Linked DNA regions of Xenopus tropicalis. The protein of the gene in region 2 interacts with the protein of the main gene of each other region in a pairwise test. Links are inferred from orthologs where the notes say so. Each region holds a gene or a part of one and is shown on either strand. Other genes may lie near its edges. The genes, in order: khdrbs3, psmf1, bend7 and fbxo7.

The links.
Region 1: the proteins of psmf1 (region 2) and khdrbs3 interact in a two-hybrid assay, tested with the Homo sapiens proteins (2 studies listed by BioGRID and IntAct). The link is inferred for Xenopus tropicalis from reciprocal best matches to the Homo sapiens genes PSMF1 and KHDRBS3.
Region 3: the proteins of psmf1 (region 2) and bend7 interact in a two-hybrid assay, tested with the Homo sapiens proteins (2 studies listed by BioGRID and IntAct). The two-hybrid records come from large-scale screens. The link is inferred for Xenopus tropicalis from reciprocal best matches to the Homo sapiens genes PSMF1 and BEND7.
Region 4: the proteins of psmf1 (region 2) and fbxo7 interact in binary tests that used the Homo sapiens proteins (3 or more experiments, as listed by UniProt). The link is inferred for Xenopus tropicalis from reciprocal best matches to the Homo sapiens genes PSMF1 and FBXO7.

The regions. Positions count from the first base shown.
Region 1 is NC_030682.2:144,622,644-144,628,349, forward strand, and holds the start of khdrbs3 (KH domain-containing, RNA-binding, signal transduction-associated protein 3), read left to right. Parts: upstream 1-2,135; 5' UTR 2,136-2,378; coding exon 2,379-2,463; intron 2,464-5,706. UniProt on the Homo sapiens protein: RNA-binding protein that plays a role in the regulation of alternative splicing and influences mRNA splice site selection and exon inclusion. Binds preferentially to the 5'-[AU]UAAA-3' motif in vitro.
Region 2 is NC_030686.2:690,224-695,684, reverse strand, and holds the start of psmf1 (proteasome inhibitor PI31 subunit), read right to left. Parts: upstream 3,304-5,461; 5' UTR 3,197-3,303; coding exon 3,062-3,196; intron 1,844-3,061; exon of another isoform or gene 1,822-1,843; coding exon of another isoform or gene 1,795-1,821; coding exon 1,648-1,794; intron 1,530-1,647; coding exon 1,447-1,529; intron 1-1,446. UniProt on the Homo sapiens protein: Plays an important role in control of proteasome function. Inhibits the hydrolysis of protein and peptide substrates by the 20S proteasome. Also inhibits the activation of the proteasome by the proteasome regulatory proteins PA700 and PA28.
Region 3 is NC_030679.2:81,756,144-81,761,141, reverse strand, and holds part of bend7 (BEN domain-containing protein 7), read right to left. Parts: intron 711-4,998; coding exon 448-710; intron 1-447.
Region 4 is NC_030679.2:7,489,084-7,493,643, forward strand, and holds the end of fbxo7 (F-box only protein 7), read right to left. Parts: intron 4,319-4,560; coding exon 4,235-4,318; intron 3,042-4,234; coding exon 2,946-3,041; intron 2,852-2,945; coding exon 2,675-2,851; intron 2,188-2,674; coding exon 2,150-2,187; intron 2,069-2,149; coding exon 1,718-2,068; 3' UTR 1,449-1,717; downstream 1-1,448. UniProt on the Homo sapiens protein: Substrate recognition component of a SCF (SKP1-CUL1-F-box protein) E3 ubiquitin-protein ligase complex which mediates the ubiquitination and subsequent proteasomal degradation of target proteins and plays a role in several biological processes such as cell cycle, cell proliferation, or maintenance of chromosome stability.

The DNA.
Region 1 (5,706 bases), on a different chromosome or scaffold from region 2:
AAGGTGGCTGGAGGGTGTGTATAATAAGAAACATGGAATTTATATCAGAGTTTTCCAATCTGCAGTAACTGACTGGGGCTTACTCAGAATTTGCCAGCATTGCCCCCTGCCTTATATAAAGGCTTCCCCTGGGAGACCATTAATGACTTTATAATTAGCCATAAATTCCTACGTTGTGATTGGTTCACTGCAATTTGGGTCCTGTCAGGGGTTTTCAGTTTTATTGCTGTGATATCATTAACTTGGGTTCAAATGGGGGAGAAGGGGGGTCTGGGAGAGTGGGATAAAGAATTTGTTTGGGAATGAGACTGGGCTGAGCTGTAGTAAAGGACTAGTTAGGGTACTCTGTATGTCCAATGTATGTAACCCACTTATTGTACAGCACTGCGGGATATGTTGGCGCTTTATAAATAAATGTTAATGTAATGTCTTTGGGGCAAGGTGGGGGTAGGAGGAGATTGTATTATATGTGGTTAGGAATTTGGATGGGGGGTGGGTGGGGTTATGCAGGAGGTAGAGATTTAGGCAGGATTGGAGAAATTCAGGGAGGGTGCCCTTTGTGTAGGAGACAGGGATGTAGGGAGGGTTGGGGGGTCTGTAGTTTGGTAGAGATTCGAGGAAGTGTATTGGTTATATGGGGGCAGAAATTAGTTGAGGGTGCCCTTTGTGTAGGAGACAGTGATTTATGATAGGTTGGGGGGGTCCCACAATTTGGTAGAGATTTAGGGGTGTATTGGTTATATGGGGGCAGAAATTAGTTGAGGGTGCCCTTTGTGTAGGAGACAGTGATTTATGATAGGTTGGGGGGGTCCCACAATTTGGTAGAGATTTAGGGGTGTATTGGTTATATGGGGGCAGAAATTAGTTGAGGGTGCCCTTTGTGTAGGAGACAGGGATTTATGATAGGTTGGGGGGGTCCCACAATTTGGTAGAGATTTAGGGGTGTATTGGTTATATGGGGGCAGAAATTAGTTGAGGGTGCCCTTTGTGTAGGAGACAGTGATTTATGATAGGTTGGGGGGGTCCCACAATTTGGTAGAGATTTAGGGGTGTATTGGTTATATGGGGGCAGAAATTAGTTGAGGGTGCCCTTTGTGTAGGAGACAGGGATTTATGATAGGTTGGGGGGGTCCCACAATTTGGTAGAGATTTAGGGGTGTATTGGTTATATGGGGGCAGAAATTAGTTGAGGGTGCCCTTTGTGTAGGAGACAGGGATTTATGATAGGTTGGGGGGGTCCCACAATTTGGTAGAGATTTAGGGGTGTATTGGTTATATGGGGGCAGATATTCAGGGAGGGTGCCCTTTGTGTAGGAGACAGGGATGTAGGAATAGTTGGGGGGTCTGTAGTTTGGTAGAGATTTAGGGGTGTATTGGTTATATGGGGGCAGATATTCAGGGAGGGTGCCCTTTGTGTAGGAGACAGGGATGTAGGGAGGGTTGGGGGGTCTGTAGTTTGGTAGAGATTTAGGGGTGTATTGGTTATATGGGGGCAGATATTCAGGGAGGGTGCCCTTTGTGTAGGAGACAGGGATGTAGGAATAGTTGGGGGGTCTGTAGTTTGGTAGAGAGTTGAAGAAGGTACTATGGGGGCAGTAATTTGGGGGGGGGCAGGGGGTTCTATGGGGAAGCAGGGGGTTAGTAGTGGGGTAACATGGGAACTGAGATTGTGTGAGGATTGGCTGTGGGTATCAGGCATTAGAGTAGAATTGGGGCAGAAGGTACAGGGGGGGTTAGTTCCTATCCGGGCAGTGGAAGGAAGACATAGGGTAGCGGTATAACGGGTAACGGGACTGTATGTGGGAGAGTTCGGTACCGACTGCAGCAGAACATCGCAGGGGCCCCGGCTTGGGCTCCGCACCCACAGCGGCTCAGTAACGTACTCCCGGCCCCTCCCGCACTGTCCCAGCCCCGCCCATTCAGTCAGTCCCAGCTCCGCCCATTCAGCACCACAGACAGCGACCAACGGGGAGACTCGCTAAATATTAATGAGCCTGTCACTTACTCCTTCCCACCATTGGTTGGGAACAGACAAGGGGCGTGTGTATGGGCGGGGTTGGCGGAGGAATTTGCTTGTTCCCCGCCCAAGGGAGGGAAGCGGTGGGTTGGCGCAGCCGTTTGTTTTTAAGGAGACGTGAGTGGGCTGCTGGGTCAGTCGGAGCCGGGCGGGCTGAGAGGAGGCTGTGTGGGAGCCGCACGCTGTGGGTACGGGGAGGGCAGTGACAGTGACTCTCTGTGGCGGAACTTCGCTCTGACAGGGATCCCTACGGGCTGCTCTATTGCCCCTGCCGCGGACTATTTCCAACCCCTTTGGGTCGCCCGGACTGGCCCTCGGATTCCCGCTGGATTCTCCGGAGTATTAACCCCCCTACCCCCGTATGGAGAAGTATCTCCCGCAGCTCCTGGCTGAGAAGGACGCGCTGGATCCGTCATTCACTCACGCACTCAGGATGGTGAAGGAAGGTAGGAACTATTGCCCCCCCCGGGGTATTATATTGTTATATTATGGGGGACACTTGCACTGGGGGTGACCTCTGGGGTATATTTATCCTGTGGGGTACAGAATGCAGTGCGATTCCCCCCCCGGGTATATTTTACTGGAACTGCCCCACTGGGGTACATTCATTCCTACCCTCTGCCCAGGAACAGCCCCCCTGTACTCTACTGCCCCCCCAAGGGAACTCATGCACTGTAACTGCCCCACTGGGGTACATTCATTCCTACCCTCTGCCCAGGAACAGCCCCCCTGTACTCTACTGCCCCCCCCATGGGAACTCATGCACTGGAACTGCCCCGCTGGGGTACATTCATTCCTACCCTCTGCCCAGGAACAGCCCCCCTGTACTCTACTGCCCCCCCATGGGAACTCATGCACTGGAACTGCCCCACTGGGGTACATTCATTCCTGCCCTCTGCCCAGGAACAGCCCCCCTGTACTCTACTGCCCCCCCATGGGAACTCATGCACTGGAACTGCCCCACTGGGGTACATTCATTCCTGCCCTCTGCCCAGGAACAGCCCCCCTGTACTCTACTGCCCCCCCATGGGAACTCATGCACTGGAACTGCCCCGCTGGGGTACATTCATTCCTGCCCTCTGCCCAGGAACAGCCCCCCTGTACTCTACTGCCCCCCCATGGGAACTCATGCACTGGAACTGCCCCACTGGGGTACATTCATTCCTACCATCTGCCTTGGGACAGCCCCCCTGTACTCTACTGCCCCCCCATGGGAACTCATGCACTGTCACTGCCCCACTGGGGTACATTCATTCCTGCCCTCTGCCCAGGGACAGCTCCCCAGTACTTTATTACCCCCCCCCCAAGGGAACTCATGCACTGGAACTGCCCCACTGGGGTACATTCATTCCTACCATCTGCCTTGGGACAGCCCCCCTGTACTCTACTGCCCCCCAAGGGAACTCATGCACTGAAACTGCCCCGCTGGGGTACATTCATTCCTGCCCTCTGCCCAGGGACAGCCCCCCTGTACTCTACTGCCCCCCCAAGGGAACTCATGCACTGGAACTGCCCCACTGGGGTACATTCATTCCTACCCTCTGCCCAGGGACAGCCTCCTTGTACTCTACTGCCCCCCCAAAGGGAATTAATTCACTGAAACTGCCCCACTAGGATACATTCATTCCTACCCTCTGCCCAGGGACAAACCCCCTGTACTCTACTGCCCCCCATGGGAACTCATGCACTGGAACTGCCCCACTGGGGTACATTCATTCCTACCCTCTGCCCAGGGACAGCCTCCTTGTACTCTACTGCCCCCCCAAGGGAACTCATTCACTGGAAGTGCTTCCCTGAGACATATCATCTCTTCCTCCTCTCCTAAAATTGGTCCTACTCAGTAAAGTACCCTCACCATCATCTATCCATCTATCTATCTATCTATCTATCTATCTATCTATCTATCTATCTATCTATCTATCTATCTATCTAATCTACCTATCCATCCATCTCTGAAGAATAAGGTAAATCAATGTTCATTCTCCAAAGCACATTCACCTTAACAACCTCCTATGGAACATGTCCCTCAGCTTCCCAAACAGTCATGTTAAGAACCCCCAAGCCCTTTATACTAAGAATTCACCCCCCAATGTACAATACCACCCAAGGATTTTACCTCTACCCTCAAGTCAAAGCTGCTCATACTCCGGGGACTGCGCTCCCTAAAGCTCCCCTATAACCTTATCCTCTCTAGGGAACTCATCTCTCAACCTCTTCCAAAAATCACAATGCTTGGGGCAGGGGGGGCTCTCTCTTCTTGATGGCCAGGATTATATCTAGAAAGTCTTTTTGTTTTAAGAGCAACCCCTTGGCTAAACTTAGTGATGGGATTGGGTAGAAGGACTGGAATCTTGAAATCTAAATTGCTCTTTTGGAGAGGGTGGGGGGGTAATATGTTTCCAGGCTCTGCTTTCACTCTGGTTGGGGTGGGTACATAGGATAACGTCTCTGAAATGCAAAAAAATCACATTGTGGTATTGGTACCTGACCTAAATCTGTCATTACCTGTTCTAGGGGGAAGCTATGGATTTGAACTACTATAGCTCCCTCTGGGGGTCTTGTACTTAGAATGCTCTTGGTGGTGGTGGGGGGCTGCGTTCTAAAACTACACTCACTCCACCTTCTAATGTATCTATAGCATATTGTAGCTCGCCCCGAGTCCCTCTGGGAAGATCCAACGCCAGCTGTTTCCCTCATGTTAATTCTATTGAGATCCGCTGTATCTCACAATAGGTGCCACATATATAGCATTCTCCGTCTCTCTCTAAGAGACCGTGGCAGTCACACCTACAGAGCAGTCTCCATCTCTCTATTTCGGTGGAAGAGAGCCCACCCCAAGGTATTGTCATCGCTTTATTTTTACCCTGGTTTCAGTATAGGAATCCTCAGGGTAGGACAACATGCAGCCCCGGGAAAGGAATCCTGTTGAATAAGATTTAATTGCTCCTCATCCGATCAAAGCGAGACGTCTCCCAAGTACAAAGAGCAAATTTTATGACCCCCAATATATATATATATATACGAATGTACAAAGTTGTTTTGTGCCACCTGTGTATGTATATATGCATTATATATATATATATATATAGATATATCACTGGGATTTTCCTATTGCAGTAGCCAATGTACCGAGGGAGACCCGCAGATGCAGCAGCTAGCCATGTGTCCCAGCGGATTCATAGGCTGTTTATACATATATATATATTTACTGTAAGCTATATACATATATACCCCCTGATGTATCCCAGCCGGGCTTGCTATTCCAGCAGATAAATGCTCAAGCCTGACAGAAAGGGCTTTGTCTATTTTAATTGCCATTTGTTGACGATCAAAGCCCTTCTCTCGATTTAAGATAAAAAAATGTGAAGTCCTCAGTGTGATAATTTCATTGACTGTCTATAAACCCGTCAACACAAATGCAGACAACAGGATCCGGGGTGGGGGGGGGGGCTTTGGTTTATTTCTAAGGGGACACAGTTGTCAGACCTCTCCATTGTTTGCTCGCTGGTTCTGATTTGCTGCAGATCCTTTGTGCCGTTTCACGTACAGTAATTAAGCTCGCAAGGACCTACGGCACCCATCTTGCTAACCCCCCTATGAATATATGCAGGATGTCGTTACATGCCAGATGTAAAAGTGATGTTTATAAAAAGAACTATGAACGTTGTCTCTGTTGGAGGTGAATGTGC
Region 2 (5,461 bases):
CCTGTGTAACGGCAGCCAGAGCCGGAACCCCACCATAAACCCCCCTTCCCACCTGTGTACTTATGGAACCCCACCATAACCCCCCCAACCTGTGTAACGGCCCAGCCAGGGGAACCCCACCATATTACCCCCACCACTATCTATCAAGGGGAACCCACCTGTGTAACGGCAGCCAGGGAACCCCACCTAACCCCCCCCTACCTGTGTAACGGCAGCCAGGGGAACCCCACCCATAACCCCCCCCTACCTGTGTAACGGCAGCCAGGGGAACCCCACCATAACCCCCCCCTACCTGTGTGTCAACGGCAGCCAGGGGAACCCCACCATAACCCCCCCCTACCTGTGTAACGGCAGCCAGGGGAACCCCACCATAACCCCCCACCCTCGTGTAACGGCAGCCAGGGGAACCCCACCATAACCCCCCCCTACCTGTGTAACGGCAGCCAGGGGAACCCCACCATAACCCCCCCCTACCTGTGTAACGGCAGCCAGGGGAACCCCACCATAACCCCCCCTACCTGTGTAATGGCAGCCAGGGGAACCCCACCATAACCCCCCCCCTACCTGTGTAACGGCAGCCAGGGAACCCCACCATAACCCCCCACCTGTGTAACGGCAGCCAGGGACACCCCACCACTAAATGTGTAACGCCCACCATAACCCCCCTACCTGTGTAACGGCAGCCAGGGGAACCCCACCATAACCCCCCCCTACCTGTGTAACGGCAGCCAGGGGAACCCCACCATAACCCCCCCCTACCCACCTGTGTAACGGCAGCCAGGGGAACCCCACCATAACCCTACCTGTGTAACGGTTCTACCAGCCAGGGAACCCCACCATAACCCCCCCACCTGTGTAACGGCAGCCAGGGGAACCCCACCATATCTCCCCCCACACCTGTGTATTTATTCTTATTTACGGCAGCCAGGGGAACCCCACCATAACCCCCCTACATGTGTAACGGCAGCCAGGGGAACCCACCATAACCCCCCCACCTGCTGTAACGGCAGCCAGGGGAACCCCACCATAACCCCCCCCTACCTGTGTAACGGCAGCCAGGGGAACCCCACCATAACCCCCCCCTACCTGTGTAACGGCAGCCAGGGGTAACCCCAACCATAACCCCCCCCTATCCTGTGTGAGACGGCAGCTCAGGGGAACCCCACCGATGAACCCCCCCCACCTGTGTAACGGGCAGCCAGGGGAAGCGCCAGCCATAACCCCCCCCGTACCTGTGTCTGTACGGCAGAACCAGGGGAACCCCACCTATATATCCCCCCCTACCTGTGTAACGGCAGCCAGCCGGGAACCCCACCATAACCCCCCCCAGCCTGTGTAACGGCAGCCCAGGGGAACCCCACATAACCCCCCGCCTACCTGATGTAACGGCAGCCAGGGGAACCCCACCATAACCTCCCCCCCCCCCGGGGCCCCCCAGCCTCTGACCTGGGGTATTCCTGCAGGTGGGCGGAGTCAATGAACCGGGACACTTGCAGCGTCACATCCGCAACCTTCTCCGTCTGCATGTCCTGTGGGAGAGAGCCAATCAGCTGCTCAGAATCAATGGGCTCCTGTTTCATTGGCTGGCACACCGGCACAGCATTGTACTGGCAGAGTGGGTTAGTGCCCCGGGGGCATTCTCCTTACCATGAGATGCACAATCACAGCGCCCTCTACTGTCAGGGCTTTCAGCAAAAACTGTGAGTTTGGGCTCCCGTAGCGCAGCGTGTACAGGTCCGTACTGTGTGCCCATCCCTCCGGGAGGCGCTCCGACCCCGACTCCTGCGCTGCTGCCTGCGGGGGGCGACACATAGTCTGCATCGAAAGGATAATGTACCCCCTACTGTATATGATAAGGATATTAGCAGTCACTGAGGGGTTCTGTGCCCCCCATATAAAGGCACAAGGCTGCAGGCTGAGTTATACAGGGAACTCTGAGTATCACTCATGTATTATAAGGGATACTGTACCCCCTACTGTAAATGATAAGGATATTAGCAGTCACTGAGGGGTTCTGTGCCCCCCATATAAAGGCACAAGGCTGCAGGCTGAGTTATACAGGGAACTCTGAGTATCACTCATGTATTATAAGGGATAATGTACCCCCTACTGTAAATGATAAGGATATTAGCAGTCACTGAGGGGTTCTGTGCCCCCCATATAAAGGCACAAGGCTGCAGGCTGAGTTATACAGGGAACTCTGAGTATCACTCATGTATTATAAGGGATAATGTACCCCCTACTGTAAATGATAAGGATATTAGCAGTCACTGAGGGGTTCTGTGCCCCCCATATAAAGGCACAAGGCTGCAGGCTGAGTTATACAGGGAACTCTGAGTATCACTCATGTATTATAAGGGATAATGTACCCCCTACTGTAAATGATAAGGATATTAGCAGTCACTGAGGGGTTCTGTGCCCCCCATATAAAGGCACAAGGCTGCAGGCTGAGTTATACAGGGAACTCTGAGTATCACTCATGTATTATAAGGGATAATGTACCCCCTACTGTAAATGATAAGGATATTAGCAGTCACTGAGGGGTTCTGTGCCCCCCATATAAAGGCACAAGGCTGCAGGCTGAGTTATACAGGGAACTCTGAGTATCACTCATGTATTATAAGGGATAATGTACCCCCTACTGTAAATGATAAGGATATTAGCAGTCACTGAGGGGTTCTGTGCCCCCCATATAAAGGCACAAGGCTGCAGGCTGAGTTATACAGGGAACTCTGAGTATCACTCATGTATTATAAGGGATAATGTGCCCCCTACTGTAAATGATAAGGATATTAGCAGTCACTGAGGGGTTCTGTGCCCCCCATATAAAGGCACAAGGCTGCAGGCTGAGGGGGCGGGGCACCAGGAGAGGGGGCGGGGCACCAGGAGAGGGGGCGGGTTGTTACACTCACACACAGACTGTATAATAAAGTTTCAGCCCCTCCCCCATTAGCGGATACAGGCCGAGCCCCCCTTACTGTGTAGTAACACACACTCAGCCCTCACTCACACTCAGCCCTCACTCACACTCAGGGGAGGGGGTGCCGGGCTTTATTCTCACCTCCTCCCCCCGGCCCAGGCACCGCAGGCGGCGGCTGATTAACTCCCAGTGGATGAAACAGATCAGCGGATCCGGCGGGCGGGAAATATCGGCGGAAACCAGAGAGAAAAGCAGCTCCATTCCCGGGGCCGCCATGATCGGAACTGCGTCATACTCACTTCCGGTCCCAACACTTTCAGCTTCCGCGTTCAGCCGGGAGAACAGAGCGAAGTGATTGGAGGTTCCGCCCCAGGGGGCGCTATAAATGGGGGGCGGGACTTCCTGCCCCCCCCCCCCCTCCAATAGTCCCACAACTCCCAGCAACCGACACTATTTACCCTGCTCTAGGGGCAAATTACCCTCTTGTACCCCCCAAGGCGAGCAGTGTGGGTTGGGCTGCAGTGTGGGGTGTGGGGTGTGGGGGTTAATAACCTTGGGGGGGGGGCAATATTAGTCTGGGGTAGTAAGGGCAGGGGCAGGTCGGGCCCCCACTCGGGTTACTCCCCATTCAGCTAAGAACCTGTGGTTTTTATGATTTGTTTTTTTTATCTGGAACTTCAAGGCTTAAAAATTGCAGCTGCATTGTGGTTGCTATGCCTCCATTACCTTAGTAACCAGGTAGCGTAACTATAGAAGTGGAACAATCAGAGGAGTTCTGTTTAGTGGTCGATAGGGTCAGTGACCCTTGTGGGAAACGGACGGAATAGAAACACCGATAATTCAACCACCGTACAAAATAAATCACAGAAACCAACTGAAATGATATAAAGATTCCCCCGTTACCCCCCGAGCTCCCCCCAGTCAGTTACACAGCCCCACAGGGAACGTCCCCCGTTACCCCCCAAGCTCCCCCAGTCAGTTACAGCCCACAGGGGAACGTCCCCGTTACCCCCGAGCCCCCCAGTCAGTTACACAGCCCCACAGGGGAACGTCCCCGTTACCCCCCGAGCTCCCCCCAGTCAGTTACACAGCCCCACAGGGGAACGTCCCCCGTTACCCCCCCCCGAGCTCCCCCAGTCAGTTACACAGCCCCACAGGGGAACGTCCCCCGTTACCCCCCGAGCTCCCCCCAGTCAGTTACACAGCCCCACAGGGGAACCCCGTTACCCCCGAGCTTCCCCCGAGTCCCCAGTCAGTTACACAGCCCCACAGGGAACGTCCCCCGTTACCCCCGAGCTCCCCCCAGTCAGTTACACAGCCCCACAGGGGAACGTCCCCCGTTACCCCCCCGAGCTTCCCCCCGAGCTCCCCCCAGTCAGTTACACAGCCCCACAGGAACGTCCCCCGTTACCCGGCTTCCCCGAGCTCCCCAGTCAGTTACACAGCCCCACAGGGAACGTCCCCCGTTACCCCGAGTCCCCCCAGTCAGTTACACAGCCCCACAGGGACATCCCCCGTTACCCCCCGAGCTCCCCCCAGTCAGTTACACAGCCCCACAGGGAACATACCCCCCGTTACCCCCGAGCTCCCCCCAGTCAGTTACACAGCCCACAGGGAACGTCCCCCGTTACCCCCCGAGCTCCCCCCAGTCAGTTACACAGCCCCACAGGGGAACGTCCCCGTTAGCCCCCGTTACCCCCGAGCTCCCCCCAGTCAGTTACACAGCCCCACCAGGGGAACATCCCCGTTACCCCCCGAGCTCCCCCATCAGTTACACAGCCCCAGGGGAACATCCCCCGTTACCCCCCGAGCCTCCCCCCAGTCAGTTACACAGCCCCACAGGGGAACGTCCCCCGTTACCCCCCCCCGAGCTCCCCCAGTCAGTTACACAGCCCACAGGGGAACATCCCCCGTTACCCCCCGAGCTCCCCCCAGTCAGTTACACAGCCCCACAGGGGAACATCCCCCGTTACCCCCCGAGCTCCCCCCAGTCAGTTACACAGCCCCACAGGGGAACATCCCCCGTTACCCCCGAGCTCCCCCCAGTCAGTTACACAGCCCCACAGGGAACGTCCCCCGTTAACCCCCGAGCTCCCCCAGTCAGTACCCCAGTCACAGCCCCACAGGGAACATCCCCGTTACCCCCGCTCCCCAGTCAGTTACACAGCCCCACAGGGGAACATCCCCCGTTACCCCCCGAGCTCCCCCCAGTCAGTTACACAGCCCCACAGGGGAACATCCCCCGTTACCCCCCCGAGCTCCCCAGTCAGTTACCCAGCCCACAGGGGAACATCCCCCGTTACCCCCGAGCTCCCCAGTCAGTTACCACAGCCCCACAGGGGAACATCCCCGTTACCCCCCGAGCCCCCGCGCCAGTCAGTTTACACAGCCCCACAGGGGAACATTCCCCCCGTTACCCCCTCCCCGAGCTCCCCCCAGTCAGTTACAGCAGCCCGCACAGGGGAACATCCCCCGTTACCCCCGAGCTCCCCCCAGTCAAGTTACACAGCCCCACAGGGGAACCGTCCCCCGTTACCCCCC
Region 3 (4,998 bases), on a different chromosome or scaffold from region 2:
CACTAAATTCAAAAATGCTAGCAACAACTGAAATGAATTTGTGAATAAATTCGAGTCTTTCAGTCTCTTTCATTTATAATCTTAATGACAGCTCCAAGTCATTCAAATCAACAACTGGTTTCAGGTAGGAACGTGGACCACTGTGGCCCTATTTATCAGTTAAAAACATAGCAAAATATGAGCCATAGAATTTTACAGAAAAATAATGTTTTCTCACAATAAAGCCACCACATTCATCATTATTTTTTATTTGATACATGTAATTATAACTATATATAGAACAAGTTTTAAATCACCATTACAGTATATAAGGAAGTACCTCTAAAAGAGAACTGTTTGCAAGGTAGAAATGTTATTTATTTTGCAGTGGTATTTTAAGAATTTATGAGTAACTCATTATATTGCTAGAGGCCAAAGCAACTAATTAACCTTTGCAGTGCAACTTACATCAGAGGATGAAGAATCAACAACAATTCCAAATCCCAGCATGTGCTCCTCCTCTTTCTTGGCTCTCCCTTTTTCTGTCAGACTGGACCTTTCTGGGAGCACCATGGCCTTGTGCTCTTTCTCACTCACACTTGGTGGGCTGATTACAGGAGATACTGCTGTATTCTTTAAAAGCACTTTTTTCTTTATTATTCTTTTCCTTGCCATGGCTGCCTTTTGATTGCAAATGCATGACTGCGGAACCTGCATACGGCTTTGCGAAACTGTAATAAAACACATATGCATGTATAAATGGTGTTAATTATTAGTTGTTTAGTTATTTTAAAGGTGAGGGCAAAACACTTCACCAGAAGTATACTGTATATATTGTGTGCCGCTTTCTACTTTGTAGCTGGGCAGGTTGTAAATATGGGAATAAAAGGAAAACTTTCAAGTTAGGGTTAGATTGTTTTTGCATTTTTAAATATAAATTACTGCTTTTGAAAATACATAATTCTGTTTCTTCAACATGGTCTCATTTGAGAATCTCTGTATATTGAATACATAGGGGTTCCCAACATTCATCTGCCCACACATCTGTACTAACTGGGATGTTTACTTTAAAGGAACAGTAACACCAAAAACTGAAAGTGTATCAAAGTAATTAAGCTATTATCTACTGTTTCCCTGCACTGGTAAAAGTTGTGTGTTTGCTTCAGAAACACTACTATAGTTTATGTAAACAAAAATGCTGTGTAGCCATGGGGGTACCCATTCAAATTGAAAAAAGGAGAAAAGGCACAGGTTATATAGCAGATAAATTGCATAGATTCCTATTGTATTCTACAAAGCTTATCTGCTATTATCTGTTTGCTTATGTAACCTGTGCCTTTGGCCCCTATGGCTAGACAGCAGCTTATTTATATTAACTGAAATAGTTTTTTTGAAGCAAACCAGTGCAGGGCAACAATACATTATCATTTAAATTTTTTTATTTTACTGTTCCTTTAATTGTTGTCAGGGCCACATTTAGGCAAAGAAAGGCCCCAACCTCCAAGAAAGCTGTGGCAGAGATACCTTACTTCAATATAGTAGGGCAGAGATTTCCTTATTTTGCACATTGCTGGCAAACAAATAAGCAGTACCTTACAACACATCTCTACACGGGACACCACAAGAAACAAATATACTTAAGGTACCAGCTTTTTTACATAAAAGATCCCTTAAAACATTTAGTAAAAGTAAGTAAGTAAAATGCATATTTTTATTGTAAAGCTCTTCTAGTTCATTTCTTCCATTTCTACTGTATACATCATGCAATGCGGTAGTTGAGTGTGCCAGCCTCCAGCAGCGTGTGGACACGGCGTGCGCGCGACATTCTGCACAGCGCGCCGCTGCAGGTAAGGACACAGTGGAGCACAGGAGGAGCACCCCCCTCCCTGGACCCCCCCGTGCCCGGCCTTAAGGAGAATGTGGACACAGTGTGCGCGCTACAGTTAGTTACTGTTGCTACTGTTAGTGCCAACATCTTGCCGAATGACAATGACAGTAAGTGACACAAAAGGCAGCACCGTTACTCCACACTATTGAAATGCTTGGTTATGATATCCTTGTGCTAGCCGTGGGCCCTAGCATTGCTTAATACACTCACATTTGTTTATATTAGGGCTGTTTGCTGGAAAATCCATAGCCTGAATAAATGGAGCTTTTCTTTAAAAATTAAAAAACACCCTCAACCCCCTATCTAACCCCCACCCAACTTTCTTTAACCCCCCCTTTTCCTTCTTCCTTCTTTTTTGTTTCATATATTTCATATGTATTTTACCTTGCTGTAAAACAACCAATAAAAACAAAGTTAAAAAAAAAAAAAAAATCCATATGCATGGTTGCTTCCGCTCTACTTGTAATTCCATTAATATTTTAAAATTAAAGGCATGTATACTTTGCAATTTGGTGTATTTAAAGAATACAGAAATGCCATATTTACTTATGGGATTAAAGATTTTGTATACCGGTATATGGATGCTTTTCATGCTGCACCATTGAGGGGCTTATACTCGAGTCAATAAGTTTTTCCAGTTTTCTTAGGTAAAATTAGGTACCTCGGCTTATATTCGGATCGGCTTATACTCGAGTATATACGGTAATACATGATACAGTAATTAAGCTATTAATGTGTTCTCAAAAAATACATACAAAGTAGGTACAGCCCATCATTTCTCTAGATATAAAATTAACAGTCACATTTACTTAAACTCATCTTTTTCTGGCCTTGACAGAAAAAACCTCAACACGGTATAAATTCGAATTAAACTTAATCATTGTTGTATTTATAAAATGTCACGATAATGCTTGAATCTTTCGTAAGAAAATTTCAAATTTTATGTTAGAAAATCGCAAATTTTTCAAGCCACAACTATATATATATTTGAAACTCGAAAAATTTGAGTTTAAACGAACGTTCATTTCCATTAATCTTCTTTATTTTTGCCAAACAGGAATTGCTCCAGCAGCCATTTTAGGAGCATTGGTACTCATTCTAGTTTCACTTGAATGTGGGTGAAACTGAAAACAATAATGGGATTAAATTCCCCTTGAAAATGTGTCAAGGACAGGCTATTCTATTCCTCTTCTATTCCAAGCCTTGAAAGGACTCAATTGTACTCGACAAATCAACCTGTCGAATTTTTTTTTTTTTTTACAAAAAAAAGTTAACTAAACATTAATAAATCACAAATTACGGGAGTTATTTTAGAAAAAATCAAATGTTTCGGGCAAAATTTCCAGAAAAATCTAATTTTTCAAGAAACAATATCAATGGCAAAAGCCCATTTGTAAATCAACTTTTTCTTAAAATTTCTTAGTAAATGTGCTCCTAAGTATTCTAAAAATTACAAGTTAGGTTTTAATGTAGGGTGTTTCATAATTATAAACATGTTAGTAATACATTTGCAGACCTTGCCAATACATCTCCCATTGATTTCTACATAAACTCCGCAGCTTTCATATACCAGTTCTTAATAAATCTCAAATTGAGGTTCTAGATACTCCACAAATTTACATTTTTTACTTAAAAAAACATAAACAACTGTAAATATGTAATATAAGCATCACCATACTGAAATAAGAAACTTTCTAAACATTCTGTACTGTTTCTGAAATAATCACATTTATCTTTACTATGATCCCCTCTCAGCATTTGTTTATCTTCATTCCCTCTTTATGCAGAAGTTGATTTTGATTGACAGTAAGGTCCAATATATCTTTTTTTTGGGGGGGGGTGCTCTTGCACAAACCCTTCATTTAGAGAGACAGAATTTTTAGTGATTTTAAAGGGAAACTATACCCCCCAAACAGTGTCGGCCTCTATAAAAATATATTGCATAAACCAGCTCATATGTAAAACTCTGCTTCATCTAAATAAACCATTTTCATAAAAATATACTTTTTTAGTAGTAAGTTAGGAATTAAAGTGATACTGACACCAAAAATAAAGATGTTTTTTAAACCTTTCATTGCTTTATCATTGTATTATCTCTTTAATTTCAACCTATAACCATATAGCTATCACTTTTACATTGCCATTCTGGTCTCATGGGTTTCTCTCTGAGGGGGCTGCCTTGTTTGGGCAGTTGTTGTTTGAAAACACTGCCCTTAATTTTAGTTTGAAAATCCTAGCCAATCGGATTCAGTGCTGCACATACAAACTATTTCTAATGAAATCTTTTAATGCTGAAGTACAACAGTGGACAGTGGTGTTTAGGAATGAGGCTTTTGCATTCCTTTCTAAGCATATTTGCTCTGATACCCTTTGAACTGGCCGTCTCTGTCATGGACGCTCTATAGCAGGCACAAGCAGACAAAGTGTATACTTGTTATCTATATGGGATCGTGTTCCTTTCAAATAATAAATCACAGCAGGACTAATTAGTATAGTTCTGGTGCAAAGATTTATTGAGAAGACACTTACAGGCAGCGCTGCCCAGCTTCAGCTGACGTCAGTGAAGTGAAACACTAATTGACAGGTTGAAAAGTGCCAGTCGGGTTTGCAAAACAGTCGGGTTTCAGACATTCAGGTAACTTTACTAAATAAAGCAGACATCTGGGCAAAAAACAATCAATATAACCCATAGCTAACTTTTGATGTACCATACCTCCCAACATTTGAAAAATGAAAAGAGGGACAAATAGACTTGGCGTGTGCAGCGCGAAATTTTTTGGCCACGCCCACTTTGTGGCCACGCCCCAATTACCACACCCCATTTTTAAAATAGTGCCCACGATGGCCCAATAGACAGCACCCCCATAGACAGTGCCCCCCATACACAGTGCCCCATTTGCCCCCATAAACAGTACCCCCCATAGACAGTGCCCCCAATTGACCCCATAGACCATGCCCTCAATTGCCCCACAGACAGTAGCCCCCGTACAAAGTGCCCCCATAGAAAGTACCCTCCATACACAATGCCCCCATAGAAAGTGCCCCCATACACAGTAGCCCTCCTTACACAGTGCCCCCCCATACACAGTAGCCCTCCTTACACAGTGCCCCCCCATACACAGTAGCCCTCC
Region 4 (4,560 bases), on a different chromosome or scaffold from region 2:
GTGTTGTTGGGTTTGGTTGACTCCCTGAGCTTCTGGAGACCCAGCAGTGAGGGTTCAGCCTGAGGACCTGGCATATTAGAGGGTCCGGATACGTTTGCCCATATAATGTCTATTGTTTCAGGGGCACCAATTACAGAGGCACCCGGATGCCAAAGTGTTTCTGGACGGCGGTGAAAGCCAAGAATCCAGTAAAATGTCTTCAAAGACTTGGCCGCGGTTATGGCATCTTCATAACGTGGGTCTCCAATAGAGCGCGTCGCGATTGCTGACAGGCCTGGCGCCCACAGATGCACCTCATTCCACAGGAGATTAAAATGTTTATTCAACGAGCGCTGGCTCCGGCCGAGCTTTGTTTGGAGCCGATACTCCTGGAATAAACCTTAATCTGATTCTGGAATGAGGGGTCGCAGTGTGTGCCAAAACTGTCATCATTTCTGATTCGCTTTGTTAGATTCCCCACGGCCGAAAGCCCGGGCCCGCGCACCTGAACCCTCCGTGCCCTCATGTTTATTGGGTTTATTTACACTGTAACAGGTGTTCAGCTCACCCCGCTATAGTTCCAGGGGTACCCAGGGCACAAATAAGCACTCACCCCAAATCCCCCCCTAACTGGCCTTCAGGCTGGGCCCCCTTAGCCCATAACAAGGTTACAGATATATAGAAACATTGGGGTAACAGTCACCCTGCTATAGTTCCAGGGGTACCCAGGGCACAAATAAGCACTCACCCCAAATCCCCCCTAACTGGCCTTCAGGCTGGGCCCCCTTAGCCCATAACAAGGTTACAGATATATAGAAACATTGGGGTAACAGTCACCCTGCTATAGTTCCAGGGGTACCCAGGGCACAAATAAGCACTCACCCCAAATCCCCCCCTAACTGGCCTTCAGGCTGGGCCCCCTTAGCCCATAACAAGGTTACAGATATATAGAAACATTGGGGTAACAGTCACCTCGCTATAGTTCCAGGGGTACCCAGGGCACAAATAAGCACTCACCCCAAATCCCCCCCTAACTGGCCTTCAGGCTGGGCCCCCTTAGCCATAACAAGGTTACAGATATATAGAAACATTGGGGTAACAGTCACCCTGCTATAGTTCCAGGGGTACCCAGGGCACAAATAAGCACTCACCCCAAATCCCCCCTAACTGGCCTTCAGGCTGGGCCCCCTTAGCCCATAACAAGGTTACAGATATATAGAAACATTGGGGTAACAGTCACCCTGCTATAGTTCCAGGGGTACCCAGGGCACAAATAAGCACTCACCCCAAATCCCCCCCTAACTGGCCTTCAGGCTGGGCCCCCTTAGCCCATAACAAGGTTACAGATATATAGAAACATTGGGGTAACAGTCACCCTGCTATAGTTCCAGGGGTACCCAGGAGGGGTGGGGGGGGGGTTCTACTCTGCAGGTTCCCACCTTCTGGCCGAGGATTATTTCTATTTTCTGTTCTCTGTATTTGTATTTATTTATTGATGTCATAAATAATAAAAAAAAAAAAAAAAAGTTTCCCCAAGCCCCCGCTCTTAATTATTCTTAACAAACAGTTCTATTAGTAATAGAAACACCCCAGTGGGGGGGTAACTGCCCCCATTTGCCCCATGTACCCCAGATAATAACAAAGCAGGAAGTCCAGCGCCAGGGGCTTATTCACAACTTAAGGGGAAACATCCAGTGCAACAGTCCGACCTCCGAATGTCTCCGACCCCCCCGGGAGTTCATATGAAGCCCCTCCGGATGTCGGGGCCCCTTCCTCTGCTGGGGCGGAGACTGCTGGGCCCCGGGATCGATGGGTCGCTCTCAGAAAAGGGGACTGTGACTTTAAAGGGGTTGGATAAGGGACTGAAGTGCGAGGAAGTCGGCCCGACTCGGGGGATGAAACTGGGGTCCAGGATAGGGGGGAAGGGCCTTTGGTCGTATTCACCCCCGATGATACCCGGAGGGTAATTTAAGTCAGGGGGGAAGATGTTGGGGTAATAAGGGTAAGGGTGGGTGATCCTGGGGGGCAGGAAGTGCCGGCGTACAAAGCGGCTGCGCTCCATCTTCTGCTTGTACTTCTCCCTGTAGAGCTGCAACACAAACAAAGATGGCGGCCCTTATACTGAGTTGCACCCAAGGCCCCGGCCCATATCTACAGTAACAGCACCCACCTTTTTCCAATCCATGTCCAAACTCCTTGGAAGGTTATCTGTTCAACAGCAAAGCATAGAGTTAGTGCTGATCCCTAACAGCATTGCCACAAAGCAACATAAACCCAAGATACCAAAACTTTGCCTTTTAGTGCTGATCCCTAACAGCATTGCCACAAAGCAGTGCACCCAAACTGCTGCAATTGGTTTTTGTACTATTTAGCTTGGGATTTCAGCAGCTATCTGGGTGCTAAGGTCCGAATTATCCTAGCAACCAGGCAGTGGTTGGAATAACAGACTAGAATATGAATAGGAGAAGTTTTTGAATAAAAAGATAGTCCAATAATAATAATAAAAAATAAAGACCAATTGAAAAGCTGATCATTTGCAATTCTATAACATACAAGTTAACATAAAGGTGAACCGCCCCTTTAAGAACAATATGGCGGCTATAACTGCAAATCGGATCTGCCGGGTTACCCCCTCACCCCCAGTGTTGCAAGGCACAAGAATATGTGGGTGCAGTGTCCCTAAATTTGTACTCACTCCGGAAGTCTCGGACGCACAGGAACCGCCACAGGGAGGGGTCGTTGGTGTCGGCCAAGAACTCCTTACAGGTGGCCGAGAGGCTGAGAAGGGAGCGAATGTCCAACAGGCGGAAAATCCTGAGCTTGAGCTCCGGGGGGAGAACGAGTAGCCCGAACACATCCGGGAGGTTCAGCACTGAGACGGGAAAGGAAGGAGATGTAATAACGGCTATAACTGGGGGGGGGGGGGGGGGGGAAGTGGCCAATAGCGGCCCGGGGCGGACTGTTACCTTGCCGGGCAGCAGCAAGCAGAGGGTAGGCCACCTGGTCTTTAAACTGCCCCGATAACTTCTGCAGATCCTTATACACAGAGGCAATGTTGTTATCTGTGGGGGGAACATGAAGATGCTGAATCCTACTACCCCCTACTGTAAATGATAAGGATATTAGCAGTCACTGAGGGGTTCTGTGCCCCCCATATAAAGGCACAAGGCTGCAGGCTGAGTTATACAGGGAACTCTGAGTATCACTCATGTATTATAAGGGATAATGTACCCCCTACTGTAAATGATAAGGATATTAGCAGTCACTGAGGGGTTCTGTGCCCCCCATATAAAGGCACAAGGCTGCAGGCTGAGTTATACAGGGAACTCTGAGTATCACTCATGTATTATAAGGGATAATGTACCCCCTACTGTAAATGATAAGGATATTAGCAGTCACTGAGGGGTTCTGTGCCCCCCATATAAAGGCACAAGGCTGCAGGCTGAGTTATACAGGGAACTCTGAGTATCACTCATGTATTATAAGGGATAATGTACCCCCTACTGTAAATGATAAGGATATTAGCAGTCACTGAGGGGTTCTGTGCCCCCCATATAAAGGCACAAGGCTGCAGGCTGAGTTATACAGGGAACTCTGAGTATCACTCATGTATTATAAGGGATAATGTACCCCCTACTGTAAATGATAAGGATATTAGCAGTCACTGAGGGGTTCTGTGACCCCCATATAAAGGCACAAGGCTGCAGGCTGAGTTATACAGGGAACTCTGAGTATCACTCATGTATTATAAGGGATAATGTACCCCCTACTGTAAATGATAAGGATATTAGCAGTCACTGAGGGGTTCTGTGCCCCCCATATAAAGGCACAAGGCTGCAGGCTGAGTTATACAGGGAACTCTGAGTATCACTCATGTATTATAAGGGATAATGTACCCCCTACTGTAAATGATAAGGATATTAGCAGTCACTGAGGGGTTCTGTGCCCATATAAAGGCACAACACCAAAGGCCGAGTGCTTTTATACAGATCATGGAACGGAATATAAGGTGACTATTTTACAACAGGGGGTACCTTATTTATTATAACACATCATGTGATACAGATGACATCACTGAGCACCAATTATAACTGATGACATCACAGAGCACCATTTAAAAGGATATCGTTTACAGAAAACGCATGGCTCTTGTGTTTAGACATAAACTTCTGATCCCGGCTCTTCATCCGTTAACCCTTTCCTGACAATTTTTTTGGCCCCCGCACCCCCTTTACCGGCGGAATCTGCCCCGTACCTGTCTCGGGGTAGGAAATGTAGGAATTGGTCGACAGCTGAAGTTTCCGCACACTTTTCATCTCGCTGTTAATCTTCAGGGTGGCTGCACGTGCAAAAGAGGAGAAATGAGGATGGCGGCAGCCATATTGCAACAAGATGTGAGCCTATGCTGTCGGCCAGGGGTCCTCAAACTGTGGCCCACGGGCCGGTTCCAGCCCCCTGGGGTAGGTGGTGGTCTGGCCCCCCCATTGCTTAAGAAGTTTGAGGACCCCTGCTGTAGGCAATGAATACAAACAGGAAGAGCAACTGTCACCCTAGAATTCAGAGTTTATAGGTGCTATGGGT